Caenorhabditis elegans: one gene and its partners. The protein of the gene in region 1 purifies or fractionates together with the protein of each later gene. This does not show direct contact. Each region holds a gene or a part of one and is shown in the gene's direction. Other genes may lie near its edges.

Region 1 (7,347 bases):
AAAAAATTTTTGGAACCAATTTTCTCATGGTTTGGTGGAGTTTGGTGGAGAAAAAAGTGGCAATTTTCGAAAAAATAAAAATTTCTGAAAAGTTTCCAGGGTAATTGTGGTTCAATCAAAAAGCAAAAAAGTAATGTAAAAACCTCAAAAAACTGTTTTAAACATTTGTTTCCCGTTCTAAAAATTTTGTATAAAAAAAGGCCAAAATTTAAACCATGTGTGGGAACCGAACCCACAAACTTTTGCTCAAGAGGCGAATGCGTTCACCACTCGACCACCGAAGCGATGATTTCACCCTTCCACCATTGTGGTGAGACTTCTGTTGGCGCCAGAGACAAAATCCACTGTTAACCATAGGAAATGCACTGATTTCAGTACTACATTTTCAGATGAAAATTTCCAGACTCACAGAGGTCTTCTGCCGAAACAAATCACAGATTCTGAAAGCCTAAAACGCCAGCTATCGCATAACACGTTTACTTTTACCCGATCGCACCACATAGTTAAAACACTCCCTAGTTAGTGTCCTGGTCATAATCATCTCAATTCTTTGCACATCACTTGAAACCGTTCAAATCTTTCTCAACAGCAATATGGGCTACACTTCATCGTCGCTCCCTCCAGAAGCGATGGCCACTTGGAAGTTCACGATGTAAAATGCTCGTGCGTGATGCTTTATTTCTTAGTTCGTGACTTGGCATTTGTCTGTGTCATCTTTTCCTCTGACCTGTTAGTATATTTCTTAAAATTGTTCATTTTTATTTGTATCAATTGTGAAATCACGACTCTGAATATGAATATGCATAACTCTCTTTCATATTGTCACCTTTTTCGATAAAGTCGTTGTATACTTTTATGAATAAACCGATTTCATGAAGTGAATCATTCAGCTTGCGCGACAATTTACACTAAAGTTTCACACATGGTAAATCATGAGAGAGCAAACTGTAGGGCGAGGATTTTTTTTTCACGAAAACTCTATCACTATGATTTCACTGAACAAACAAAGAGGCGGACATTTCAAAATTGTGGATCATATTCAAATAGTGGATCAAAAAGAAATATAGTTCAGTCTATCCAATGTCAACTAACAGGAAAGGTCGGCATTTGGATGATCTTCTATCTTTGTTATTATTTGACGAGAAAAATAGTCGAATTTTAGTTTTGTGCAGTTTCTGTCACACTTAAAGCTTTGTATATCGAGCTTTTTGTAAAGTATAATTTTTTTTCAAGTAATAATTTCAGTTAAAGATTCCAAAAAAGCTTTTTCCTATTTATTTCCCATTTATTTCTATACAGATTTAGTTTGTATCCTATCGTAAGGATTGTTTCGAACTTAACCTAAGGAGTTAGATAAACTAAAGTAACCAAGTAATGACGTTTTTAAATGCCGGTAGAAAATTCTATCGAAAGCCACTAGACTCACTCCAGATAAACATCTCACAAAGTCGAGTTGAACCGCTGTACACTATATAAGCATGAAAAATGATTATCTGACTTCAAAAAATGCTTTCTATTTTTTACTTGTTCAGAAAACATGTTCTTGCACGTTTCCTAAATTACATAAAATCGAATGATGTCCTAAAGTTTTTACGAATCCGAGTGGGTTGCCACAAAATAAATGAAATTAGCTCAGGATGCCTACGATTTTTTAGTTTCTGTTTTCTCAAGTTACGTAAAAAGTTTCAAACCACAAACTACTCTGAACTATTTCACAATGACGTAAGTATAATTTGATCTACCTGTTATATCTTTTTTATCTTTTCTGTAAGTATTTTTCCGGTTAAAAAATGTTAATTTCAGTCACAAAATGCATCATCATCACCATCACGCACCATTCGCCATTGCTGGCCTTCTGATTATTGTTACAATACTAACCGGAGTGGGAACTTTTACAAATTGTAAGTTTGGCAAATTGTCGTTCCCTGAAATGCGAAATTTATTCCTAGATTGGGGTGTTTCTGGAAACTTGCACATGGGAATTTATCAATGGGGACAGGCAGGCGCGAACAGAAGTTTCCAAAGAAGTGCGGGGTGGCTGCAATGTGTCGTGGTTTGTCAATTAATGGCATTCTCATTTGAGCTCTTGTTTTGTCTTCTTGTCATACCTGCAATGTAAGTAAAGTTTAAGACAAGTGAAATTGAAGACAACTTATATCATTTTACTTTACAGAGTTTTCCGAAGAATGATGCCGGTTCATGCAGCGTGTACTCTTCTCTCCTTGATCATATTCATTTTACTTCTTATTTCCATCATTGTATTCGCGGCAAATATTGGAAGCTTCTATTACAACGCATTGATTTCGTTAAAGGTAAATTAGTTTTGAAATTCAATTTTTTAAAAGTGTGATTGTTCAGCTCGGATGGTCATGGGGAATCACTTTGGCTGCTACAATTCTTTCATTTCTTTTACTACTAGTATCTGGAAGTGCAACTGGATATGGAGCATACTCGGAATACCGATAAATACTTAACTTGAACATACTTAACGCAAAAGCTTTATTCATGACAAAATAAACAGTATTGACAATTGTACAAGCTCAGTTGAATTCGTCTAATCAATGGAAAACTTTGAGTTTGAAATAAAAATTTATTGTACGGCCCACAAAGGAATCCGTTTTTAATTGATATTTTTATATATTATCAAAATACATTCAACATAAAAATAGGAATACAATCGAAAAATGTTCAACAAAGAAAAGCATCATGTGTTTATGTCTACTTGTTACCTGCTATAAATTAAAGTTACGTATCATGAGTTCACTTTTGATGATAGTTATTAAATCGTATGAAATTTTTTTCATACGGACCAAAAAGAAATATTAGGAAATTTACCCAAAAACATCGAAGGACTGAGTTACCCGACTTTTGAATGCACCAGCTTAATAGGATCTTGTGAGATACTGTTTCAAACGTGCATTACTAACTTTCTGGAAAACGGTTTAATTTCGCAATTTTGATGTTCCAAAAAATGAATACTTTGTACCTTTTGTTTTGTTTTTCTGACGTCATTTCTGATAGGTATGACTCATTTTATGACTCGGGCACTACTCAATTCCATTTAGAAAAAAACTGACGTGAAGAATAGTTTCATGAGCTCTTCAGCTGACTCATGATGTCGTATACATTGATTCCTTGACTCTGATTCATCGTCTCTTCTGTTTTCTGTGTCTAATGTGACGAGCAGCTGTCCTCGGGATCCCGCCATAATACACCGTGGACCCACATAAAAAGAACATTGAAAACACTGGCAGGCAGATGGAGGAGACGCCCCTTAGGACCCTTCTCTTCCTCATTCTGTGTAATTGTCCAACAGATTCTTCACGTCCTGTAACTAACAGCTCTCGATTATCTTTTCATTCTTCTATTTTAGTAAATTGTGAATATTACAGATATGCGTTCAGTTCTTATTGTTTGTGCACTTTTCGGCGTTGCTGCCTCCATCGAAATGTTTGGTCGCGATCAGTCTTCTGCTGTAAGTTTTTTGACAATTATTTAATTTATTAGTATTTAATTTAAAGTTTGTTTTCAGGTTCGTGGAAAGTTGATTTGTGATGGTCGACCAGCTTCTGGAGTTTTGGTAAAACTGTGGGATAAGGATACTTGTGAGTTATTAATCGTACTTAATTGCACACTTGTAAATAAGAATATCTATAATTTAAAATTTTAGTGGATTCTGATGATCTTCTCGATTCTGGAACCACGGATGGAAATGGAGACTTCCACCTTGCCGGATGGACTAAGGAATATACCCCAATTGACGTCAAGCTGAACATCTACCACGACTGCAATGACGGAATTAAGCCATGCCAGAGAAAGTTTGGAATCAAGATCCCAGATTCTTACACCTCGTCAGGAAAGGTCCCAAAGAAGGTTTATGACGCTGGAGTTATTCAACTTGCCGGATCATACCCAGGAGAGAGCCGTGACTGTATTCACTAAATTTTTGTCTTATTCTTCTATTGACTTATAGGCTTTTGTAATAAATTGTAACATTTTATTGTAATATTCTGCTTGAAATCAAAGTTACATATTTATGAATTTGACCTATCATCAAAAACGAATAATAATTTAAACATACAACTTTAAAACTTTAAAAGATGATAGTTGTTCAACGTGGGTTTTTGCTACTACGTTTCAAGCATCATAGTTCAGAAACCCATCACCATTACTCTAGAAATCGAAATGTCTGCTCTGCTTTCAAAAAAGTAGTTTGCAAGATAATTAATTTCTATGTTGGCTCACTCAGGTAAACTGAAAAGGAGATAAAGAAATGTTAGTTAGTTTTTCCTTATTAGTTAATAAAACTGTTTTTCTGCGCAAAATATATGTCGATTTGATTTATTTTCTATTCAATTTGGATTTTTTTAAAGATTAAGTTGTATCATTTTATTGTAATAATCAGCATGAAATCACAGTTACATATACATATAAATTTGACCTATGCATCATCGAAAATAAAAATTTTAAACATACAATTTTAAAACTCATAAAAAAGGATAAAAGTGAGAGTGTTCAGTTAAAGAGAAGTTTATTGAAGTATCTGGAGCAATGAAGTAGTCCAGTACGGCACATTTCTGTTGTCCTAACAACCGACATTCGATCTGCCCTCTCAAAGTTGCTACGCACCAGTTCATAGTATTGCCCATCGGAAAGAACAATTGAATGAAGCATGAGACATTTCATACGGAGCACGTCAATGAATTTACTGGAACAACTTAGCTTTATTGAAGATTATAGTTTTCAATCTTGATGTATTTTACCTCGATTTGTCTGAGAATCTAAGAGTTTCATCGTCCCATCTCACTTCAAGACGGGTCAGTCTTGGACAATTCTGAGCGATACAGTCGACGAATTGATCAACATGGATTTTTGCAACCACTTTTGGGCAGCAGTCTTCAGCTATTCCCATAACCATTACTCTGAAATGTTTCTGTAGCGCTTCCTTTCATACTCCGGTACAATTTTGAAGTGTATTACCATAACAACTACTTGCTATTATTTAGTATTTTTTTAAAGCAAATTATGTCATTTGAAAAAGGACCTTTTAAATAGGTTGCTACAAAAAATTTAGCGGCACTTTGAATCAGAAAAAAACTGATCAGAAAAAATTCAGTGTACTTTTTTCTCCTTTTTCAAATTGGTCTTTTGTGGTTCAGTGCTTTTCTTATTTCTAAATTCTGTAATGAAATCTAATTGAGCGTTCTTCTTCTTCAAAACACTCATTTTTTTCGGAAATCTTAAAGTGACCTGAAATACAGTAGTTAGAATCTATTAAAATTTTCAAGGACATTTGAAGGTCATCTTTATAAGATCATTTGAGTTACACTTTTTACACTTTGAAATACAACTACTTTCAATGAAAAATTAACGTTTTCTTCTCTGATTTTTACGGTCACCGATTTTCAGTTTTCAATAAACTTTTCTAATATCATTTCTGGTGTTTGATGTGATGCGCTGTGTATTTTCTTGTTTACATCCTACCTAATGTTTCTCAATTGTGGGATCATATTCATCCAAAAATACTCAAGAAGTTTGTGTTGTCCTCCCAGACAAAGTCCGTGGAATTGGTGCCCGTGTCTTTTGATCATGTCAACAAGCGCTTGTTCATTGATCGAATCACATGTATCCATGTTCAAGAACTGCAGGCTTCCCATTGCATTTGAGTTCTGCCATGCTTCCAATACTTGATCAGTCATGCATTCCAACCAACTGGCGTCCAACCAACGAAGATGAGGGAGCCGAGTGAGAATTGAGATAAGCGCGTCGGAATTTAGTTCGGTACCTTTTATGTCAAGCTCTTCAATGCGTGTTTTCTCCCAGTCCACCATTTTGACAATGTTGTTGTCGAGTTCTAAAATTGTAGAGTTTTTTCTGCTTAAATTGGTCCAAAATGACCCAATACTACCAAATTTTGTAAAAATCTGAAATAAAAAGTTTAATTTATTTGTTTTTAAAGTGTTATTAAAATATTCGGTCTTTTGGGGCTATTTTGAGGCTAGTTTAGGCTAAAATAGGAAATTATTTGAGTTTCAATTGAATTTACTAACATGTTCCAACAACTTACGCAAAACTATTTTCAAATGTTTTTGAAAATTGTTATTTTTGACAATTCCCTTCAAATAAAAGGGATTACTATTAAATGAAGAAAAATGTGCATTTCGTGGTCTTCAGTATTTTTTTAATTCTTCAAACTTTTGAATTTTGTATTTTCCCTATAAGTATTGCATGCAATTTCAGTCCAATAAAACTACTTTTCAATAAATTATTTCAAAAGAAAGGATAGTTATTCTTCAATCAAAAATATCTTTTTGAAATTTAACTTTTTAATTATTAAAAAGACTATCAGTTCTCAATAAACAATAAAAAATAAAACCATGTTAAAACATGATGTTTCCAATTGCTTCTAGTGACCGAGTGAGTTCACCTCTAGTATTAACTAAATTCTAATAGAGGTATCAAATCTAATAATCTGATAGATATGATAAATTTAATAAATAAATCTGATAGGAAATTCACAGAATGCCATCTTACTTACTTGTGTGAGCAAGAAATAGCGTCTTCAGTTTCCTGCATCTCTGAAGTACTAGTTTCAAACAAGATCCAGTTACTTTTGGGCAATAGTTTACACACAGGCATTCCAGATGAGCACAGTTTGATGAAATTGCGTCAACATGTTCATCGGTTATGAATGGGACTCCCCATAGATTTACAACTCGCAAGTTTGGCAAAAATTGTTTCAATTTGAACACGTTCACCGTTTCGTAAACTTCCTCTTCTTCATCTTCCACTTTTTCATAAGTTCCTGTAAAAAGTGAAAAAGTTCACAAAAGAAAAAAGAAATGCCCCGAACCAGGATCGAACTGGTGACCTTACGATCTTCAGTCGTACGCTCTCCCAACTGAGCTATCGAGGCAGTCGTCTCCCTACTTTAGTAAACCATAGACATTCCTCTTTTCCCACCACACGTACATGTTTTCTCTTTTCTCTCTTTACTCTATCTGTCTTATTTTCAAATCGTGTTTGCACAGCAATGCGTGAAGGAAAAAAAAGAAAGAAAAATACACTCACCAATGATATGGAGCGTTTCAACAGATGAAATAAAAGTGTACACTTTTCGAAGGAATCCCTCAAGAAAAATGTTCTCCGAGAGACAAAGAGTCAACGATTTTAAGCGAGATGGGAAACTTTGAAGATCTGTGAAATCGTGAAGCTGCATGGCTGTTGAAAAATCTGCAAAAATACATATCATTAAAAAACACATTTAATAAATGCAAACCCAGAGTAAGGTATTGAAGTTTTGGAGCTTTATTTGCCAACTCATATAGAACATTTGGCGTGATCAAA
Region 2 (7,758 bases), 3.4 Mb from region 1:
AGTTTGAACTGGTTGGTACGAAACTGAAAGAACAGAAATTTCGCTTTCACAAACTAATAATAATACTTCAATTGAACCCCTCTTCTTTTTCATTTCACTTTCGATTTTCCAGTAGTTTCTGGAACCATCGCATTTCTTCTGCGTCCTCGAATTTCTTTTTTTTTTGCATTTTTCGGTTTGTCCTTGGCATTTAGCGCATTCGGTATTAAGTATTAGGGCGTCAAGAATTGAAGATGGCAACGAGATATATTCTTATTCATTCACACAAGTGCCACACCCAATGTAATGTTTTGATTCACTCTTGTCCTTTTGTTCAATCTTTTAACCAGGCACTACTCAATCTAGATCAAATTTCCGCCAACTAAATTTTAGGTTGTGAAATTTGAAGGAGAAAAAAACGAAAAAATTCGCCCCTAGTCAAAAACCATATTTGCCAACAAGGGCAAAATGACTAATGACGGAGGCAAACCTTGTCCGCCCACTGTTTCTCTCCATCAAAAGATGAGCTCAACGGTAAGCATCGAGGGGCACTCCCTGTCTCGTTTTCATGTTATGCTGAGCACACCAGTCGCGCCGCGTCGTCCCCGAAATCAAGTCTCCTGTTCACTGTTTTTTTTGGTTGCCTAATTCTTTCCTTTGCCCATGTTCACAAAATTGTGTTTTTGTCACCGCTTGACTTCGATTTTTAACAGGGTAAGTAGCTAAAAAAAAAATGAAGAAGAAGCGTCATGTCTCGCCCCAATAAAATCATCTGACGTAACTAGGAATGGTAAAAGGAAGTTTTATGCTCTTCCGGTCTATGTCGACCAAGTGTCGAACTATCAGAGTGATCGATAGATTAAACATTGCGCCAGGCGTGAAGGAAAAACATTACCAAGTAAATTTATGGCGCACAGTGATCTTAGTATTACGGTTGTAGATTGTGATTTTATTTTGTTATTCACTTCTTACATTAAAAAACGATGCAAAAACATTTTGATTAATCACTTAGTTAACTTTTTCAAGCTGCTTCACTTTTGAATTTTAGTAGTTTAAAAGTGCAGTGACCATATATTTTTAGTATGTTTCCCATGTGTAGTAATTTTTTAAAATCACATTTGTATTTCAAACGTATACACCAAAAATGAACTCAAATGTACGAATTCCGTCTTATAACTTTTTTTTTCAAATTTTTTTTCCATTTGTTCAAAAGTGGTTCAAAATTTTGCAAAAAATCCCTAATTTTAGGCAAAATCTCCAATTTTGACCAATTTTCCCTGACGCAGCAGTCGAAAGTTAACGTTTTTGAATGGTAATTTCTTATTGCATATTTTGGTATTTTCACTCACGTTATTTCTTGGAATAAGTTTGGAATAATAAGTTAACTTTTAGCCAATAGGTGATCAATTTTTGTCATTTTGGTCTCCTATCAGCATTGAACGTATTTCAATCAGCAAAATAACGTAGGATGAACAATCAAAATATGAAATGAAAGACTAGAATTTGGAAAACATCAATTTCCAACCGGTGCGCGACGGAAAAGTTGGAAAATTTTAGGATAGTAGCATAATTTTTTCAAAACTTTGCAACGATTTTTAGAAAATTTTAAAAACTTTCTAGAAATTTTCATAAAAAATTGTTTCATCTTAGCGCATTTTGAGACTATTACGAGAAAATACTCCGTTAGTTCTTTTTTAAAAGTGAAGTGAACTTATACCAGGTCTGTTCACATTTGTAGTCATTTTTATGAAATATGTCGTTTTTCAAACTTAACAATAGCGAGAATTTTTAAAATCTAAAATTTAAAATACTAAAATGTGAATTAATTATATATTAACATACATTTCAAAGCGTGGAAAAATTGCGGAAAACGAAAAAAAACCCAAAAATAACACATTGCATTTGGGCAGTATTTCGAAATCAAGAATCATACACTTCTTTACTTTTCTTGCACTTTAATAAAATCACGACATTTTCTAGCACTTATTATCAGATTATACCGAGTTGAACATGATTCAAAATTTGAAATTTCAGTCTCAGTTGCACCGTAAAAACCATAACAGTATTTTCTTCCTATTCTCTTTTCGCCATCAAACTTTTGCATAATCTCTTCAGTTCTCCATACGCTTCCTTATCACCACTGAAATCGGCATAAAGGGTTATAAAAGTGAAGCGTACAACACACACAGGTCAGTCAGTACAGGCTCCATAACCACGCCTTATCTTAAATCACCATCAAAAGTGTAATTGTTGGCTGATAACTCGGCGACGCCCGCCGTCGGTCATTTCTCTTCTAACGAAACTGTACGATTTTCTATTTTTCTTAAATTATACGTTCTAATTGTTCATGCTGTTTAGTCATCACACAACTAGTGGGGCTTTCTCCAGGTATTTGTTGAATGTTTCTATTTCACCAATGTCTACCGGTTTGAGTCATAGGTGAATTGAAGAGGAGGAGGAGGCAAGTGTTAATACAAATACGTACTTAGTTTCAAAATTTAAGTTTCTTTTTCTTTCTTTTTTTTTTGATTTGCGGAGGCAGTTTTATTTGACTTTGTCATAATTTATAATTCATTTCTGTCACCCCAGGCCACTGAATTCTCAAACTGCTACGCCTTGATCAAAAGTGAGGAGAACTGTGTGGCATTTACGTTGACTCTAATTCGAAAAGATAACAATTTTCATAGGCGTCGCATTTTCCTCCTTTGCCTCCCTGTCCTCGCTGGTTTGTTGTAGTTCTCCTCCCAAAGACCGGATTCAAAAGGTGGCATCCCAGAAAAAAAAACGTTCACCAGCACCCTTGACATATGCCTTACCCTACCCTTCATTCCATTTTATTAGACCCCCTTATTGCAATATAAAATTTCGATATTGCTGTTGTCTCTTTTTTTCCTGCATTTTTTATCTTGATACATGCATTACATCATCACCATCATCATCACCCATCTCCAACCAAATTACCTAATTAATTTTTACAAACTTTGCATAAGTTACTCATTCTGTCGTCAATGTGTGCTCGCCTACAACGACATAATTCATCGTCTTTTTCTCCATTTCCTCATTTCAGTTGAACACAATGGTCGTTGAGCAGAAAGAGCAAGAGCCTATTGTCAAGATGCGCGACCGCAATGTCAACGCTGCTGCACATTCTGCGTTGGCTCGTGGAATTGAGGCACTCAACGAAGGAGAAGTGACCGAGGAGACGGAAGGTGAAAACTCTTCTCAGATTCAGATTACTTATAGCATTGGTTTTTTTCAGAAATTCGCAAGCTGGACACCCAGCTTGATCATCTTAATGACTACATGTCTAAGATGGAAGAGCGTCTGAAGGCACACAACGACAGAATGATGGAGACGTTGAAGCAGCAGAAGGAAGAGCGCGAAAAGAGACGTCGCAGCTTCCACGAGGTAAGAATATTTTAATTTGGAAAGATAAAAGCACCTCTATTTCGCTCTTCTAGCTTTTTGCAAGAGTTTGGCAAGAGTTGAGCAAGAGTTGCGCAAGACGTAGTTTAAACTATTCAGTTTCACCTAGCTTTTGAAAAACTTTAGACAAAACTTTTTCTGTGTCTATTTTGAAGTGGGTAAGAGTTTTACAAAAGTAAAATCAAATCTTAGTAAGACCAAATCTTACAAGATTCACTGCACAATCACTAAATCAAATGTTTTCATTCCCTTATCATTTGCAACTTAGGGTTAAAGTCCAAACATCCATACTTTCAAACCTCGAAAACAAATTTTAGAAAGCCACGTATTTTCTCACGTGAAACATAACAAAAATTTACTAAAACACCCTGAAAGTTTAGACATAGTAAAAAAGTTTTTTGAATGAATGAAACCGTGGGAACTGCAGTTTTGAAAGTTAAACAACTAAACATCGCAGAACATTTTGCAAAAAAAAAAATGAGTAACCGGTATTTTTTTGCAGCGTATGTCCCAAAATCAATCTGAAGATGAGGAGTTCAAAAAGCAAATGAGCAGCATCCTGAAGAGAGTTCAATCTGTCAAACGCACCGAAAAATAAACCAGAATGCTTTTCAATTGGTACATGTACACTATTTAATGTATTACTTTCATACCAACAACATCCTCAAATCATTCACATTTTTAACCTTAAAGCTGTTTCGATACGAACTGTTGGAAAATGATTTGGTTCCTCGTTCTCTATATTTTTCATTCACTTTTTTTAATCGAACTTCCTTATTTTTTTCCTGTCCCCTGTCCCCCGCTCTCCACCACTTAACCACTTAACTATTAACTTTTTCTTTTCAAGCTTTGATCGTTCGCCGAATTCAATGCAAATATGTTTGGAAATAAAGTCAACGCCGCGTTCCATGTGGCACCGCATTGAGATGATGTTTAGAATAAAAGGTTATTGTTGTTCAGGAACACCGTTGTCAATGCCGTATACACATTGATAAGAGTCAGAATGAACTCTTGTTCTTGGAAGGGATCTATGATATCTTGATCCTTCCGCAAGAATGCGTAGTGATATTTGTAGTCCGTAAAAGTTTGATATTCAAGTTTGTTTATCTGATCGTTTGGCGTTGAAATGAAAATAATCATGCAAATTTGTGAAAAATAAATGTACTTTGGAAGCTCAATGAAAAAACTTGATTGGAAAAAATTCAAAAAAATTCTCAGAGCTTACTCAGCTAACTAAAGCTAAAGCTTACTTAACAAGGTGGAATTGAATGAAACACTTTTTGAGAAAACTATAGCTCTGTTCCATTTCCAGATTTCTACAGTGTTTGTTTTTTAAAATTCAAAGGAACAGTTTTCTGATCGACGATTTCCAAAAAATTGGCAAAAACCGAGGTTTTTCCAATTTTCAAAAAATGCCTTTCAATTGAGCTTTTAAACTATGATATTTTGGCACTGTAAAGCCATAGACATGTTGTGAAGAAGTTTTCCCACTGGCGTTACTCCACCGTTAAGGATAATTAATTCCGAAAATTATGAACCAAAACTGAACCTGAACTGTAAATTTTTGAGTTTGAAAATTTCAATTCAATTTCTACAATCATCAAACTTCCCTTTCCAAAATTATTTTTGCTTTCTTTTCCAGGTTTGTACTCCCTCCTTCTCCACTACACACCACAGACATTTTTCCAATTTTCTTCGCAAAAATAAATCCAAGACAAATAAATCTGTCTAGACGATGTCGTAAGTTTAGAAAACACTCCAAGAAACATCTGACACCCAAAAGGTGAATTCACGTGGATATCAGAACCGGCATCTGCCCTTCTGAAAACACCTGTACACGGGTAAAGTGTTGACAATATCCCGAACTTGTGTTCGTTTTTTAGAAATGATTTGCTTTCTACAACATCCAGTTGTTGATCTCTAGGACGCTAGAAGTTTCTTTGTAGATATTTCAAGTAGACACTTTGTCCTTTTTGGATGTCTGGTTGGTAAAATTGCCTGTGAAAAAGGAAAAAAGATTGATGTTGTCTGGTTAGTTTCATATTATGACTCAACTTTCTCAGACATTCCATTTTTTTTCAGAGTTTGTGATAAGGCTGGTTTTATGTGTTTATTGGTATAGTGTTACAACTTATTTAGCCTTACATTAAGCGTGTAAGAAAAAAGTGAAAATATTTTAATTTTGGCGAAAATATACAAAAAGTTATGGAAAAAGCAAAACATTCACCCCCTTTACTAACATTTCTCTTTTAAGAAAAAAAAAAGAAATTCAATTCATTCTGAAAGCTGCATTGCTTATAAACTCCAAATCCTCATGATTAAAACAAAGCAGACGATAATCGTTCTCAGTCAATACAGGGCCGCACGTTTCAAGCCGAATAATCTTTTTCGAATCTAAGTCCATCCAGAAATAAACCGCTATAATCTATTTTACTTTGATACAAATCCGATTGTGAGCATTGTCTTAGACTTCGAGAAGCCAACAGTTGCGGATTGAAGATTTGAACGATCAGTGGGATTTTTTTAATGGGATTTTCTTTTTTGGCAATTATGAAAATGGTATCTACACAAAACTAAGGCTTGGTAGTGCTCAAATGAACGAATTTCATAGTGAAACTTCCCAAAAAGTCTATAAAAAATTTTGAAAAATAGTTCACAACAACAAATCAATTTCGAACCGCTGCAACACACAAAATGATTAAAATTGGAGAATATAGTTAATTCGTTCATTTGAGCAAGTTTTGGGGCTACAATTTCAAAATACCCAGAAGCGTTACTCCTTTTGTAACTAATAATGTTTCTTGTTAAGTACAGGGTTTGTATCACAAAAAAAAATCATCAAGTCATATACCCTTAGGTTCATCAAATGAGATAACCCTTGAAAATTGAATTTACAACAATATTTGCTTCTTTGATAATAATATGGGGATCGAAGGCCAGTGCACTTTGATTTTCATGTGATAAAACCCGTAGTGTTAATTCATCAATGATGATAGGACAAAAACTAAAATATTTTATCATATTCACGGAACATGATATCCTAATACAGGTCAAAGATAATTATCAAAATGATTGCCTGAACTGTGAACAGTATAATCAATTTTGTGACTTTTTAAAAGATTGTTTATTTGTAGATCTGAAAATTAAAACTTTACGCTAGAAACGTTCTATAGTTTTTTTTACGTAATTTATAAATTTTTAGAGTGCAAAATTTAGGCCTTTGGTAGCACATTTTGGACTAAATTTCCAAATAAATTTCCAATGATTTTCTGGAAAAATTAAAGGCTGAAGTAACACTAGCTCACAATAAATTATTTTAAGTTCTTTTTAAAACTGAACACTGAATTTTTTTATGTTGGGTTACATCCACGCTACACTTACCAGGAAAACAAGTAAAGTTGGCTTGAAAATATGGGGGACATCTGATCGATTGTTTTTTAGTACGACTACAGTTCCACGGAAAATTGTAGAAAAATGAGGTGGAAATTGTTTCCACGACTCTGTGTACTCACGGAGCGTATGTTCTGGCTCAACTAAATTTACAACTAAATTTACCAGTAGAAATTTTGCGAGCAAGTGAATATATTGTTATTTTATAGAGTTAATGTTATTTTATAGAAAAAAGCAACTTCTAAAATTTTCGACAATCGGCGGTTTCAGCAATTCCGGCGCACCTCTATGTAGCATACTTCAATTGCTAGCTTTTCAGTTAGTTTTAGAAATATATATTTTATTTGGTGATGTGTGATATTTCACCTCAACCAATCTCTAAAATCATAAAAAGCAGAGTAACTAAAAGTAGAAATAGCCTATTTTCTCCCTAAAGAGGATTTGCTGTGTTATAAATAACCTTTTTATATTTGGAAATGTACAATGTATTAGAGCTCAAAACGTGAGAAAAGCCACTTTTTTTTGGATTTTTGTCCTTTCGGGATGATCATTGAGAGAAATTTGACATTTACTCGAGAATCCCTGAAAAATGTCAATTGTCCTATAGTTTTCAATTTGAAATCAGTGTGGCAATACGTCACAGTGCTTGAGGTCATTCGATTTAGTAAATAAGTGTAATTGACCAATGTCGCCGCCATTACAGTTAGCAATTTTCCTTATTTACAAGACTTTCCAATTTTATTTCTGTTCCAATTTCAAGGTCATTCGAACAATATCAACGTGTGTAATCTTTATTTAGTAACAAATATATAAAAATAAATAAATAAATAAAGATTTCTAGAGTTCTACAACGACAAGGAACACTTGCAAGAGGCCGGAACGGGGGATGCGAGCAAAAAATATTGTTTTAGGAACAGCGGGAAATTGATAACTGAAAGGTAGATTGTACGGAGGTTTTGCAAG
Region 3 (7,652 bases), on another chromosome or scaffold:
CGTTTTTTTTTGTTGTTTTTTTTTGTTAGAAAATTTAAAAAAAATTGAAGAACAACAAGAGATTTATCAAAATAAGTTGAGTTTAATGGAAAAATGCTCAAAAACCGAAAAAAAAACGTATTGGTTGAGGCTCAGACTACAAACTACAAAGTTTTAGCCTCACCAAATTGAAATTTCCAAGCTAAAATCTTTATTTTCACCAATTTTTACGGACTTTTTCGTTGTAAAATCATAAAAATGAAACAAATTCAAACATTTAAGTTAATTTTATCGGAAAACGTCAATTTTATAATTAAAATTTTTCCATTTTTCCGATTTTTTGATTTTCTCTGAAAAACACCATAACTTTAAAAAAAAACTCAAATTTAAATTTTCACGTGGTGTCAGGTTGTCCCATAAAGGTTTGATCTACAAAAAATGCGGGAATTTCTCCACAAAGAAATGTGACGTCGGCATGCGAAATCAGTTGAGAAGTCTACGTCTGAATTCCCGCATTTTTTGTAGATCAAACCGATATGGGACAACACCTGACAACACGTGAATTTTTTTGCAATTTTTCTTTCATTTGCGAATGAAGTTTTTAAACGAAAATTTAGAAAATCGGAAAATCGGAAAATATTTCGATTTTTATACATTACTTTATCATTTTTTTTTTCAGGAATACTCTCGAAAAAGCGAAAAAGGTATTCATCGACACTCTATGGACAGGAACCTACTTCCGATTCTGTGAGCGATCCCGTAGTAGAGAAACAGTGATGGCTGATCAACTATGTGGTTATTGGTTCCTTCAATCAGTATCTCCTGAACTAGCCGACGAGCTTCTCCCGAATCATATGGTCCGATCAGCGTTGGATACGATTTATCGATTGAATGTGTGTAAATTTGGAAACGGACGAATGGGTGCAGTAAATGGAATGAAACCGTCAGGAGTCGTAGATCGGGAGTACATTCAGGCTGATGAAATGTGGACGGGTGTTACTTATGCAGTTGCATCGTTACTTATTCAACAGGGAGAAGTGGAAAAGGCGTTTCATACGGCGTCGGGGAGTTATCTGACATGTTTTGAGGAGACTGGACTACAATATCAGACGCCTGAAGCACTTTATGAATCGAAGTGAGTGAGATGTTGAAAATTCAAGAAGAAACTATCTAGTTTGTAGTATGGAGCAGTCCTATATGTATATATATATATATATATGTATTTGTATATGTATATGTATATGTATATGTATATGCATATGCATATGTATATGTATATGTATATGTATGTATATGTATATATGTATATGTATATGTATATATGATTACGGGAACACTAAATTCTGAGAATGCGTATATATATATATCTCATAGCGAAAACTACAGTAACTTCTTAATGTCGATTTACGGGCTCGATTTTCGGATTGAATTTTTTTTTCGAGTTTTCGTAAGTCATATTTGATCGTGAAATAAATTATTACCGTAAATCCACATAAGCAGTACAGTAGCATTTTAAAGAATTACTATAGTTGTCGCTACGAGATATTTTTTGCGCGTTAAATGTGTTGTGCAACACGCATATTTAGTGTTCATATAATACGTTTTATAAAACATTAAACGATAAATTTAAATTTCCCGAATTTTGAACTCGAAAAACTGAAAATCGAAAAAATTGTGAGGAAAAGAAATTTGTTGAAAAAAAAAACTGAAATTTGTTTTTTTTAATAGATTTTTCCAAAAAAAAAAAAAAAAAATTTTCCACACATTTCTAAAAAAAATCCCAAAAAAAATTCAAAAATTAGAAAAAAATCCAAAAAAATCAAAAATTATTTTTTCAAACTTCCAAAAATACTCGTAATCCCAAAAAAAAAAGTTTGAAACTTTACAAAAAATTAAAAAAAAACATTAAAACTTTTTTTTTTTTGATTCCAGAAAAATTTGGATATTCAAAAAAGCAAAAATTCATAAAACTAATTCCAAAAAATGGAAATTTATTTTTAAAAATAGAAACAAAAAATTCATATCCAAAAAAACAATAATTTTGGAATTTTTTTTTTATTTCCAAACATTTTTTCTTTAAAAAATCCCAAAAATTAATCCTAAAATATCCGAATTTCAGATTCTACCGAGCCATTGGTTACATGCGTCCTCTATCGATTTGGGCAATGCAATGGTCACTAAAAAAGCATTGTGGAATGAATACGAGTGAAGAAAAATTGCCGAATTTGGTGAAAAATGAAAAAGTTGTTCCGGAATCCGAAGCAGCAATTCAAGTACAGAAACAACGAATATTAGGGGATACAAGTGAAGATGGTTCGAGTTTAGGATATGTTAGTGATTATCATGATGAGAGGAGTATTCCAAAGATTGCTACACTACGATAATTGTACTTTTTAACTGATTTTTTTGGATATTTTCCCGATTTTTTGTATTTTACGTGGTCTTTTATTTTTCGAATTTTCGATTGTGCAATGACGTTTTTACAATGCAATACAAGTATTTTTTTGAAAAATTTTTTCTGATTTTTATATTTTCTGTTGTCCATTTAGGATATCAATTTATGCTATTTGCCTTTTTTTTTTTTTTTGGAAAAAAAATTTGAATTTCTTGAAAAAGTTAGCTAATTACGGTGTTTTTTAGGATGAGCTTTTTTTTTTGAAAAATTAAAAACATTTTTTGAATTTTTTCCTCAATTTTTTGAAAATGTTATAGTAATCACGGAAGCTTAAATTTAAAAAAAAACCATTTAGAATTTTTTTTTCACAATTTTGAAACTGATTTTTTTTTTTGAGAAAATTCGCATTTTTTCAACAAAAAAATTCTGAAAAATGTTGACAATCTGTATTTTTAAGCTAATTTTTAAAAGCTTAATAATTGGGAAAAAAATCAAAAAAATTCAATTTCATGTAATGTAAATTATGCATTGCAGGTGACTTTTTGAATGTAAAATTTGAAAAATTTGATTAAAAAAAGTTTTTTTTGAATATTTCGCTAAAGGAATACTTTCTAATTAACTAGATAAATATTTTAACTTTTAAAGCATTTTCTGGTAATTTTTTGGAATTTTCAAATATTACGAATTTTTGTCGAAGTTGAATTCTAGAAAATCTTTAAAAAAGTTTGAATTTTTTGAAAATTTTTTCGAAAAAAAAAAATTTAATTACTTTTTTGAAAAATAGAACAAATGTAACATTTATTATATAATATATAATAGTATATAATAATATAATAATATTTAATAATATATAAAATATATAATAATAATATATAATAGAACATTTATTGATTTTTTTTCGAAAATTTCAATTTTTTTTCTAATTTTTAAACTAAAAAAGCTAAAATTACGAATTTTCGGCATTTTTCAGAATTTATAAAAACCTCGAGAATTTGAAAAAATAACAAATTTTTTGTTTAAATGTGAAATTTCTTGTTTTTTTTTCTCTCCAAATCTGAAAAAAATCGAAAAAAAAGCTATCATTTCTCGAAATTTCAGATGCTCCGCCTTGCCACCCCACTGAGATCAGGCCTCCTCTCCTCAGCAATCAGGCGTCACTCGGCATGTTGTGGTGGAGAGCACAAAATGTCAGAAGCCGAGCTGAAAATGAGCAAGTTGCTCACTGAGGGAATTGATGGATGTACTCGTGTCGAGGTTCACGATGTTTCTAGTGAGTACGCTACAAACTACAATAGGCATACTACAGACTACAAAATATACACTACAAACTACAATAATCACACTACAAACTACAATAGACATACTATAAACTAGTATAATCAGACTAATATTTGTAGTTTGTAGTCTATACGTGGGGTATTCATTCATGATTTTTTTGTTCCGCTCACAAAATTAATGGTAGAAATAATGAAAAACAAGTTAGTTACTGTATACTATAAACTACAAACTACAAACTACGAAATATAAACTGCAAGCCAAACACTACAAACTATAAACTATACACTACAAACTATAAAATGTACACTATAAATTCCAAATTATACAACACTAACTACAAACCATACACTACAAACTACAAAATATATCCACAAACTACTATCTATACACTACAAACTACAAATTGTATACGACCAACTACAAGCTAAACACTACAAACTATAAAATGTACACTATAAATTCCAAACTATACAAAACTAACTACAAACTCCAAAATATACCCTACAAACTACAAACTATACACTACAAACTACAAGCTCCATATTACAGATGGCTGCGGATCAATGTTCGACGTGGTCGTTGAAGCCGCCGGTTTCAAGGGAAAATCGAAAGTTGCTCAACACAAACAGGTCACCTCCATTCTCCGGGAGCAGATTAAGGATATGCATGGGCTCACGATCAAGACAAAAGCCGCCTAGATACTAATTATCGATTTTTTTTGTCTAGTTATTGATTAGTTCAAAGGACATAATATCGTAAAGAATATTTTAAATTCGAACTTTTTGAATATTGTAGATCTCTTTTTTTGCAAAAAAATCGAAATTCGCGCGCGCTAATCAGGAGATCATTTACCAATGGATTCGATGCACATGAGATAAAATATTGGGAGAAAGGGGAAAATATCTGAAAAATGGGTTAGAAATGGCTGAAAATTACGAAAAATCGATAGTCGATGCACCATGACGCCAGTTTTTTTGCTGAATTTTGCGAAATATAGGCCTGAATTGTGTGAAGTCTTAAAAAGGGCGGACTAGAAGATAAGCCTGTAAATTTCGATCTGAACAAAAAATAGTCAGAATATAATAGTTCTAAGAATGTTTAATACTGTTTTTGTACAACATTATGTATTTAGTTTATCCATGTCTTTATACAATACAACTCTTATTTTATTTCATCACGAGTTTAATCGGTAATAAATCAAATCAATAGAATTATTTTATTAATAGAATAAAGGTATAGGATGTAACTGCCACTCACGCACACTGATCGATCTTATAAGGGTTTATTAAGTAAAAGGGAACAGACGAATTGCATCGTCGAAACAGAGTAAACGAGAGAAAAGGGAAAACGACAAGTAACGGGTCAAAGAGTTAAGAAATGATGACAAATGAGCGTCCTCCTCTCCTTATATAGGCATTTCCGGGTTAAAGGCGCAGCCTTTAACGACGACGGGTCTCGACGCGACAATGCGACCAACGACAGCTTGGCGGCGGTTTGAACTGGAGTTTCTCCTCCACACGAATTGTCCTCGCTGTAGAAATCGTTGTCCTTGACCGATTTCGTCCGTTCTTTCTGTAAATTATCAGAGAGAATTTACAGGCAAATAAATTAGTATTTATTTATGTAAAATGTGAAGTGAAAAGGGTGGGTATCCTTACAATAGTATCAAAATTAAAACTGCACAGACATTTGCATTAAAATCCTCCGAACATTGATGTTTATGTCAATTGTTGCGAGTTTTCCGTCAAAACCTTCAATAGATATTTGATTCTCAATAACTCCATTGATTCGCTTGAAAGACAATTTTCCTTTGTACTTGATACCACTGAATACTTTTTGAATATACTTTTTCAATTTCAAGTGTCTAGTTTCAATGAGAGCCTCGAAAAGTTTCATCCTTGGGTTTGATCCATGAATCCAGTGTTTGAAGAACTCATTTAAGAGATGGGCTTTAATTTGGTAGTTTAGTTTTATAATAGTGGAGTTTGTAATCCATAATAACGAAGTTTCCATTCTAAGGAACTCTACACAATCGTGATTTTCCAATAATACCTTCCGCATGTGAGAATTGCTGTCATAAGAAGTATCCCTGCACTTGATATGTATCTTCTGGACAGTATCTAGAAAATTTCCGAATTCTCGTTTCCAGACAAAGTAGGGAAGGGGTCTACATAAAGATAATTCGAATACTTCTATCTTAATCCCATCAAATGCTGGATAAATCGATTCCGATCTAGGCTCGCCGGGATTTAGCTTTTGAATCTTTGATAGATGAAATAATGCTTGGAAATGATTAATGAGCACTTTTAATTCAATTTTTAGAGTTTTCCATTTTTCAGACAGACGTCGAACTTAATCCATTTGGGTAGCGTATTGAGAAAGTATTTGAAAGTTTTTCAGTGATTCCGTCTTCATCAAGTCGCTCATCAGCATAGAAAAAAGCAACACTTCCGTCTGCTAATCTGACAGTAATGTGGATAATCGGTTCCACTCTCGGGACAAATATCACGTTTATACTGGATCCTTTCATATTCTGAGCTATTGCCAGATTTTTGCACTTTTGTGAGACGAATGAGAAGTAGAATCTGCAAAAGAATTTGGGATCAAAAAATTGATAATCGAAAGGGGAAAAAATGGCTTACAAATCCACGCGATCCATGATTTGTAGTGCATTTTGTAGAGATTTTGGGGGTAAACGGAGAATTGGAAATGGAGACGAGGTAGGGGTAGCCATAGGAAAACATAATGAGGACACCTGCTGCCGGATAATCGGCAAGATACGTTAATTAGAGCTGGGCGTGTGTGCAGGTTTGCTCACATTGAGCAAGGCATTGGAAGCAGCTTGTAATTACTTACGACGGATTTTTCGTCGAGCTCGGAGTATTTGCACACTAGATGGCTGAAAAAAAATTTGGGCAAAAATAAAAAGTTGTCTAAATTTGTTGAAAACGGGTAATTCATGTATGTTGAATTCAGAAAATCTAGGTTTAACCCATGAAAAACCATTAGAAAGTGGCAAAAATGAGCAATTTATGGCAAAAATTCACAACTTTGAAACACATCTAAAATGGGCAATTTTGTAGTTAGAGGACTCAAAATTGATCTGTAAACACTGAAAATTTCCTTTTTTATAGTATATAGTGGTTTTGAACATTTTTAGAAAAATTATTTTTTGCCCAAAATAAAAAAAAAGGACAGATGGCTGAAAAATCAAAATGGGCAAAAATAAAAAGTTGTCTAAATTTGTTGAAAACGGGTAATTTATATATGTAGAATTCAGAAAATCTAGGTTTAGTCCGTCAAAAACTATTAAAAAGTGGCAAAAATGGCCAATTTCTGGCAAAAAATCACAACTTTGAAACTCCTCTAAAATGGGCAATTTTGCAGTAAGAGGACTCAAAATTGATCTGTAAACACTGAAAAATTGCCCCTTTTCAGAATATAGTGGCCTTGAACATTTTCAGGACAATTATTTTTTTGCCCAAAATAAAAAAAAGGACAGTCATTAGATGGCTGAAAAATCAAAACGGGCAAAAATAAAAAGTTGTCTAAATTTGTTGAAAACGGGTAATTTATATATGTAGAATTCAGAAAATCTAGGTTTAGTCCGTCAAAAACTATTAAAAAGTGGCAAAAATGGCCAATTTCTGGCAAAAAATCACAACTTTGAAACTCCTCTAAAATGGGCAATTTTGCAGTAAGAGGACTCAAAATTGATCTGTAAACACTGAAAAATTGCCCCTTTTCAGAATATAGTGGCCTTGAACATTTTCAGGACAATTATTTTTTTGCCCAAAATAAAAAAAAGGACAGTCATTAGATGGCTGAAAAATCAAAACGGGCAAAAATAAAAAGTTGTCTAAATTTGTTGAAAACGGGTAATTTATATATGTAGAATTCAGAAAATCTAGGTTTAACCCATCAAAAACTATTACAAGAACCGACTAATTTATTTTTTAAAAAATTGAGCGCGAAAAATGCGGGGAAAACCTGTAATTTT
Region 4 (7,765 bases), 1.2 Mb from region 1:
AAAGTTGTCCGAATGGTCCAGAACGGACAGAATCCATGGTTCCTGGCTCCAAGTCAACAAGGACAGCTCTGAAAAACATACAGTTAGGTAAACGGTGGACAAAATCGGTATATGTCAAAAATCATGGAAAACGTCTAGATCAAAAAATAATTTCATGAAAAATTATGACAAAACAAACTATATCTATACCTTGGAACATATTTGTTGCTTCCGGCCTCATTATAGTAGACGTTGATTCTTTCGAGTTGAAGATCAGAGTCTCCCACATACTGGCCAGATGGGTCAATGCCGTGTTCATCGGATATTACCTCCCAGAACTGAAATTGCTTGGCATAAAGCACAACTAGGAACATTATAACTGAAAATACTAACCTTCGAACCGATTTGATTACCGCATTGTCCGGCTTGAATATGAACGATCTCGCGCATGTTGCTTGAAATTTGGACCCGACGTTTCTTCCTCTACACCTACAACTTCTTAGCAGGCGATCACTGGCGGAACGGCTGCCTTGAGGCTCGACTGACAACGGACCAAGACAAAAGATGCGACTCAAGACGAATAATGGGAGGAGTCACATCTCGGTGCCCCATCACTTATTCATGAGCTCTGCACCACGCACAGCCACCATCATATCTGTTGTAGTGTGTGCGACCATCGCTGCGCATCATCAACAAATGCATGGCATTCGAATAATGAGTGGTCCGAGAGAAACGAAAGAAGAAGGAAAGAGACGAGATCAAGATCCAACACAAAAAGCCATTTTTGAATTGTGCCATGAATTTGTGAAGAGACAACTGGTGGGGCGAGGGGGTTAGGAGTCATCACAATGAGTGCACTTAATGCATTGTGGATGATAGTTTCTGCATTTTTCGCGCTGTGTTTCAAAAATGCTACACACAAAACGTTTCATCTTGAAACACCCGAACAATACTATAGAGAGATTAAACGGTAAAAAAGGTGATGAGGATATAGCAAACTGACACAAAATACAAAAAATTGATAAGATAGAAGGGAAAAACGATGAGGTGGGAAAGTGCGGGGTGTTGAAAGCTCTTAAATTTAAGAGTTTTCATTTTGAATGGAGATTTTGAGGTTATCATATCACAATTGAAAGTCAGAAATCGAAGGAAATGGCAATTATCAGAGCATGTGGTGAGTACCAGCGTTTTGCAGCTTTTTCTGTTGGAGCCGACGTTCGTGCTCTTGTTGTAGCTGTTTATGGTGCTCTTCGCGGTGCTGAAATACACAGAAATGACAGGTTTACATTTCTAGATTACTACATAATTTTTGTTTTTTTTTTCTAATCAGCGAGCTGTCTTGAGTATCAATTTCTTTGCTTAAAATTTCATACATCATTGGCTAAACGACGAACGGAATTTTTTTTGATAATAGGTAATATTTTTTCAAAACTATTTTCTAAAGTACATACCTCTTTCAAGGTGCTATCCAAATCGTCATCACCCCATCCGAGAAGATCATCATCGATATCTCCAAGTGTCGGCGTAGCTCCCTGAAAAAAAAATGGATTGCAATCAGGTTTTCTTGTCTTTTTCCTGCATCACCACAGCGACACCTTTTGTCATTAGAATTTTTGTCTCCTCTTCCATCGCCCAGAAATCTTGTGAACGCGCGAGAAAAAAAAAGAGTCAAGCGCGTCCCCGGCATCTCTTTCCCGCAATTTGCGCCGCCGTCCCGACCGATTGGCGGCTATTCATAAAAAGTTGACGAACAACTAGATAGAGAAGTAGAAACAGACACAAGACAAGAAGAAGAAGGAGAAGCTGTTGAAGCTAGCTGAAGAATCCATTCTCAACAGGACTCTCCGTGGAAAAAATTAGGGGAGGAGAACAATCGAATACCGACTACACTGATTAGCAGAACGAGTATATTGTTCTTCTTTCGTTATTCTGTTTACTCGTTTCCTCGCACACTGTGAAAGCAAAATCATAAGATCGTCATATTATCATTGTCATGATGAAGCTTGTAAAAGTTATGTTCAAAAACGGTCCATCGTGAATTAATTTTGATTTTATAATATTCAATGTTTTACGTTTAGGTTGACCATATATATATATTGTAAATCGAATTGGTGATTTCTTCCTAGCAATGTTTTTTTGTATATCTCCTCTCTTCAAAAGCCCACAGTAAATCAAATTGTACCGTTTATGATTGTTCACATATCAGCACTAATCCGTTCATGAAAAAATGCTTTTGAAACCTGAAACAGATTGTTCAATCTGTTTCAGGTTTTAATTTAAAGTTAGCAGAAGGATAACTGTTAAAAGTCAAGTAGTAGGGTGCAATACGGTTAGAAGAAATAATAATGAGAGCAGTTGGTTGCATTAGAAAAAACAAAAATTAACTTCATTCCAAACATTTGCAGCGTCATGAACAATTGTTTCGTTTCTTTATCGAATAAAAAACTAAATAACTTGTTTTCTCAATTAGAATGTAATCCTCAATTTGGTATTTTTTTGAAATTTACTATACTGTTTGGAACGCAATTTGCGCTTAACTTTAATTGAAAGCCATGTATCAAAAGCTCAACGTCGTGAAATGTATGTTCATCAAATTATCTTATCTGAATTTTTCATGACATATTACAATACAAATTTTCTTAGAACATCTATAGTACAACCGTGTAAAATGGTCATACATGTTGCGTACCTAACGTAATTTCATGACGTTCTCCACCCCCAGCTGAATGCCAGATAAAAAATACCGCTTTTTTGGTGGCTTGTTAGTTCCTCGTTAAACGAAAAATACTATACGATAAGATACTTGCCATTCGATTTCACATTTTTGAATCTGTATTCACTTTCTATCCTTATCTTTTGCTGCGCATGTTTACGTTTACGAAACGGGCGGCCATGAAAGGTTAAATTCAGATATGATGAGGGGCGGGCACAACTCGCGGCCATCGGAAACAGGTTCTAAGGTTCACAGAGAAGCCCTTCACTTCTTCATAATCCGCCATTCACTTCATATTTTTCTGCGCGTGAAATCTGCTCGGATGCCATTACACTAAAATTTTATTAAACTATATTAACACAATCAGGCTCACTGGACAAAAAAGTATTTGTCCCAAGATGCAATTAAAGATCCAGTTTTCCTTGACCTCGACCTTAGCCAAACTAAACAGTAGCTAACGCGCGTTAGTAGTATAATCAGTTCTATATCACTGAAGCTGGAAACTAGTCTTATCGCTTGATGTTTGAAGAATGCCCGTCCGGCCAGACACCCAAACCGGGATAACAATCACTTTTCCCCTATCATTCACGCCTTTATTTCACAAATTCACGAATTCACCTTTTGTGAAAGATTGCAAGATTTGAATCTCACGAATCTCCACCCCCCCCCCCCCTTTTTCCAACTTCATTTCATTTACAAACCCGTCCCATTCTGCCATTCTGTTTGCATTTTTTTCTTCTTTCAATTGCCATCGGATTCAAGATAACCACATATTTCAAAAGCTTTTTTCAGAACCATGCTGAAATTGGTAATAGCGTGTCTTCTTCCTACTGTTGTCTATTCGGCAGTTCAATGTTATGTTGGCCAGAAATTATTCTCATACGAGTCCACAAATGTAAGTCAGAATTTTCATACTTCTAAGAATTTTCTAATTATCAAACTCTTCTAAAAGCCAGCAATTTAGGCGATCTGTGCCAAATTCATCCCATATACGTGTGCGGTGCAATGCGAATGGCGCAAGCAATGTAATGAACATACGTCGTTCTCCACTTTCCGCGGACGTCGCACTTTCGTTTCTGGCCTTCTCCTCAACTCGAAATCCTTGATGGTTTTGTGTTGCGCTTCATTGGCTACTAGAGTGGAGACAGGTGAGGATAATGTAACAAGTGACTAAGACTCACATCGGCGAGAAACTCAAAAACTAGCTGCCATCGCAAGATTAACACGACCAAAATGTTGCGTTTTGCAGACAGCAGCGGTCGTGAAAAGTGTATCTGGAGAGACACCGAATCCATTTCCGTCCTTGGTCCATCCATCAGAACCAATCCGGTGTTGGCACCAAACCACTACATTCGGTAAGCATTCTCTAGTTAACTAGCATTTTCTATAACAATCACTTTTTAGTGACGTTAAAATGGAACGCGACGGAAGCTCCCGTGTTGATGTAACAATTGAAGTTTGCCAATATCAATCAGAAAGGGATCATTGCAAAATTGATGTAATTCATTAATATAGTTAACTGTTCTTACTATTCCATGTTACAGGAGATGAGTGAATTCGAAAAGAAGAGATTCAATGTAATCAAGGGAAAGCTTGATAAGGCTGCTAATGAGAACGGCGTCACAACGACAGAAGCACCGACGGAAGTGAAAAATGAAGACGATTTTCTCAACAAGAAGCTCCTCAATTAACTAGTTATCTCATCTACAGCGTACCTCTTATTTATGTATAAACATTGTTTGTTTTGACATCCTAATAAATATATAAACCAACCCAAACTCACCACATTTGCTTCGTTAAAGTCAAATCTGCTTTTCTTGGGAGCCGTATCACGGAACCCGCCTCGTGGGGCCAAGACAACCTGGAAAGAAATTAATTTTCCCAGTTTGGAAAAAGTATTTTTAATATCAGAATGCATTGTAAAAACAATTATTTTGCGTTGCAATTTTCACAGTACAAATACTTCTTCAGTTCAGTTGGTTTGTATTTTCAGAGACTAATTTGCAAGGGAAAAAATTGAATGCTACATGTTTTCCTCTTGCTGGGATTATGATTCAAACTACCAAACGAAAACATTTAAAATGCGGAATTTATAAAAAAGAGAACTAGACAAGTTCTAATTAAACGTGGTTTGCAAAATTACTAGAAATCTTCTGCCTTGAATTTTTTGTTTTTAGTTTCTGTCTAGATGAAGTTTTAAACAAAGTTGATAATTATCAAATGTTCCAAAAAAAGTGTAAAATATACTATTTAAACTATAACGTTTAACGAGTTCTGAAAAACAATTGCTACAATACAATTTGGTAGACTTTATTGAGAAGTGACAAGAGCGAAGCAACAAATGGCAAAATTTTGATTTAATATTGAAAATATTACAAACTAGTTAGCATGCTGTTTCACATTCAATTTTAGTATTCGTGTGGAATTTATTATTCTCACATTTTTAATTTTATTGAATTGATTTTTCATCAATATAATTGAGACTAACGTTTTTTTTCTTTAAAATACATACTTTTCTGGCGCTGGTAATAGTTGGCTCTAGTGTGCTAAACAAGTCGTCATCTGGTTTGGTGTGGGTGTCCGGTTTCTGAAATTAAATAAAACACGGTATAGATTGTATGTATTGTGCCTGCTTTTGAATTCACCTGAGCATTACTGTTTCTCCATTGCTCAATTTTGTCGTTCACTTCTTCCTTTTTATCCCAGTCATCGTCTCCCCACGAATCGGTGACTTCATTTTGAAGCAGTGATGCTCGTTCTTCACCTTTCCTTTCTGTACGACCGTTGTCGACGACCACTGAAAAACTTTATAAAAGTGGTGCTTTTCTTTTAGCCTGACCTTTTAGGCTGCGGTTTGATTTTAAAATGAAAAATATATATTCTACTTGTTTCTACTATGCAAAACAGAGAAAAAAAAGAAAAAATAAAACAATAACTTTGCTCAACCCGGAAAAAAACCCAGTTTATTTCAATCGCTCCATATACTTTTCACACAAATTGAACATCCTTACTATACTTGGTGTATACAATTATTTAAAAAAAACAGGAGTTTAAGGGGGTCTCCTATTGAATTTTGTTCTGACACCCAGGCAGCAATGTTTTCTTCGTATGCTGGTAAAGCTTTACCTCTTGAACTGTAGCGCCAAAAATATTGACAACGCTTAAAATCACATTCAATAACGGCTTTTTGATTTAAAATCTTAATAGCAAAAAAAAAGAAAAGCATATGTGAAAAATTGCAATTCTTTTTGTGGCTGGTCTTGATGTCAAGACTTCAAGTAACAAACGGTATCGGAAGACAGCAACCCATAAAAGAAAATTCAATTTTAAGAGCTCTTTGTATTTATCTTCTTTTATTCCTGCACCACATTAGAAGCTTTGCCACTTTTGGCAACATTTTCAACGTTAACACTTCAGTTTTTATTTTCAAAATTTTTAATGAAAAGCTTACCCTCAAACGGCAAGTCATCCACATCCATGCGCTTTTTGTTGCGATTCCCATTGCACAAATTCCGAATAAAAGCAATAATCAATTGAAGGAGACGCATCGTCGACACGTATACTGCCCGAACAATTGACATCTAAACTCGCATAGATTGTATCTATTCCATGGAAAATGGAAGAGGAGAAGAAGCGCAAGTGGAAACGACAAATATTGTGGAAAACCGTGAGAGTCCACAAGAACTCTCAGTGCCCAATAGCAGAAACGGTGAAAAAACGCCAGTGATACAATGGCAAGAAAGAAGAGACGCAGACAATGGTCGTCAAATGGGGCACATTGACCGCAAATACTCTCACAGTGTACTAGTAACACCAAACGGGAGAGGTAGATGGATAACGAGTAGTCATGAGGCTGTTGGGTGAGGCTCACATCAGTTATTGATTTGGAGTTGTCATCACAGAAAACCAATTGTTTATTTGAAGGAGTATGTGAGATTTTGTTCAATTTTAGAACACACAGGTGTATAAACTTAACAAAAATTGCAAAAACCGAGAGTTAAAGGAAAAGGAGGAAGAGTAACTAATATACTCACAACAGATTCAAACTCTAATTATTGCAGGCTTAGCCATCAGCAAATACTGAACTTTTGGAAAAATATTGAAATGTTCATTAGAAGCAAACTTTGAAATTCGCATTATTCCACTGTGTTATGTGTAGCTGGCTTATCGTTTGATCTTCTCAATTTTACTGTTCTACACTCCATGCTAGTTTTTTTTCGCTACTCCGATTTTTGCGTTCGTAGAGGGGATCCCGATTAAGATGAAAATTCTTGTGATCCATCGTGTCACCACACTTCATTTCTGATTTTACTCATTTTTCACACAAAAACAACTATCAGTGTAAAAGTATAAACTTTTTAAAAATTGATAAAACTTTATGAAAAGAGTAAACAAATAATTTGTTCAAGTACAAGTGTAATTTGAAATAATATGACATGACAATACAGAGCAAGAAATTTTTGAACAAGCTAATTTTGCAAAATATATTCAATGAGGAAAAATTCAAATTGAAGATTGAAATGGAGGGTGACTGTGTAGGATGTCTGAAAAAAATAATTTGAAAAAGTCTCTGACTACAAGTTTTTGTAACTTACTTTATCTGATATTCACAAGAGCAATGATTCCGGTTTCTTCTCCTCCATCAACATTTCTTGTTCGATTTTTACCTCCTTAACCAACTGTGATTCAATTTGAATACCATGGGCGGCGAGCAAACTTGATGGCAAATGTTTCGAATTGTATTTGGCCAGTGAACGGTAATCAACCACATTACTACTCGAACTCTCGTTGTCGTCTTCCCAATCTGGTGTTGGACTTCTAGAGCCTTCCAAATACCGGCCCAACGGGTCTTGATACGCATGATTTTCTGTGAAATATTCGAAACTAACAGTTTCTCCAGCCAATTCTTCCTCTTCGTCGTTTTCTTTCATGTACTCTTCCCTTGTTTTTACTTTATATCTTGATTCAGAAGGCTCCGACTTATTCTTCTCAAACAAATCACGAGCGCTGGGCCGAGTATGGGCAGTGATAGGTCTCATATACACAATCTCCTCACTTGTTGTTTTCAGATCT

The links.
Region 2: the proteins of ttr-6 (region 1) and bbln-1 fractionate together in Caenorhabditis elegans (co-fractionation; one large-scale study listed by BioGRID). This does not show direct contact.
Region 3: the proteins of ttr-6 (region 1) and Y105E8A.11 fractionate together in Caenorhabditis elegans (co-fractionation; one large-scale study listed by BioGRID). This does not show direct contact.
Region 4: the proteins of ttr-6 (region 1) and ZK154.1 fractionate together in Caenorhabditis elegans (co-fractionation; one large-scale study listed by BioGRID). This does not show direct contact.

Annotation. Positions count from the first base shown.
Region 1 is NC_003284.9:6,593,165-6,600,511, reverse strand, and holds ttr-6 (Transthyretin-like family protein), read left to right. Parts: upstream 1-3,390; 5' UTR 3,391-3,394; coding exon 3,395-3,475; intron 3,476-3,532; coding exon 3,533-3,605; intron 3,606-3,670; coding exon 3,671-3,942; 3' UTR 3,943-4,087; downstream 4,088-7,347. Other genes in the region: hic-1 (Lens fiber membrane intrinsic protein), read left to right, coding at 1,811-1,901, 1,950-2,115, 2,174-2,312, 2,359-2,466; fbxl-4 (F-box domain-containing protein), read right to left, coding at 4,516-4,708, 4,764-4,922, 5,485-5,854, 6,539-6,805, 7,072-7,233, 7,280-7,347.
Region 2 is NC_003284.9:3,147,750-3,155,507, reverse strand, and holds bbln-1 (Bublin coiled-coil protein), read left to right. Parts: upstream 1-3,046; 5' UTR 3,047-3,055; coding exon 3,056-3,188; intron 3,189-3,238; coding exon 3,239-3,387; intron 3,388-3,907; coding exon 3,908-4,003; 3' UTR 4,004-4,360; downstream 4,361-7,758. UniProt on the Caenorhabditis elegans protein: Dynamic component of the endotube in intestinal cells, interacts with intermediate filament and regulates intestinal lumen morphology.
Region 3 is NC_003279.8:14,429,321-14,436,972, forward strand, and holds Y105E8A.11 (BolA-like protein 3), read left to right. Parts: upstream 1-3,470; 5' UTR 3,471-3,472; coding exon 3,473-3,644; intron 3,645-4,201; coding exon 4,202-4,350; 3' UTR 4,351-4,430; downstream 4,431-7,652. Other genes in the region: hpo-13 (Non-lysosomal glucosylceramidase), read left to right, coding at 659-1,114, 2,099-2,363.
Region 4 is NC_003284.9:7,776,138-7,783,902, forward strand, and holds ZK154.1 (Apple domain-containing protein), read left to right. Parts: upstream 1-3,439; 5' UTR 3,440-3,488; coding exon 3,489-3,587; intron 3,588-3,656; coding exon 3,657-3,840; intron 3,841-3,941; coding exon 3,942-4,047; intron 4,048-4,096; coding exon 4,097-4,190; intron 4,191-4,236; coding exon 4,237-4,383; 3' UTR 4,384-4,470; downstream 4,471-7,765. Other genes in the region: mec-7 (Tubulin beta-1 chain), read right to left, coding at 1-68, 190-317, 373-429; ZK154.4 (uncharacterized protein), read right to left, coding at 1,142-1,237, 1,431-1,511, 4,476-4,553, 5,205-5,279, 5,338-5,489, 6,144-6,273; ZK154.5 (Flocculation protein FLO11-like), read right to left, coding at 7,300-7,765.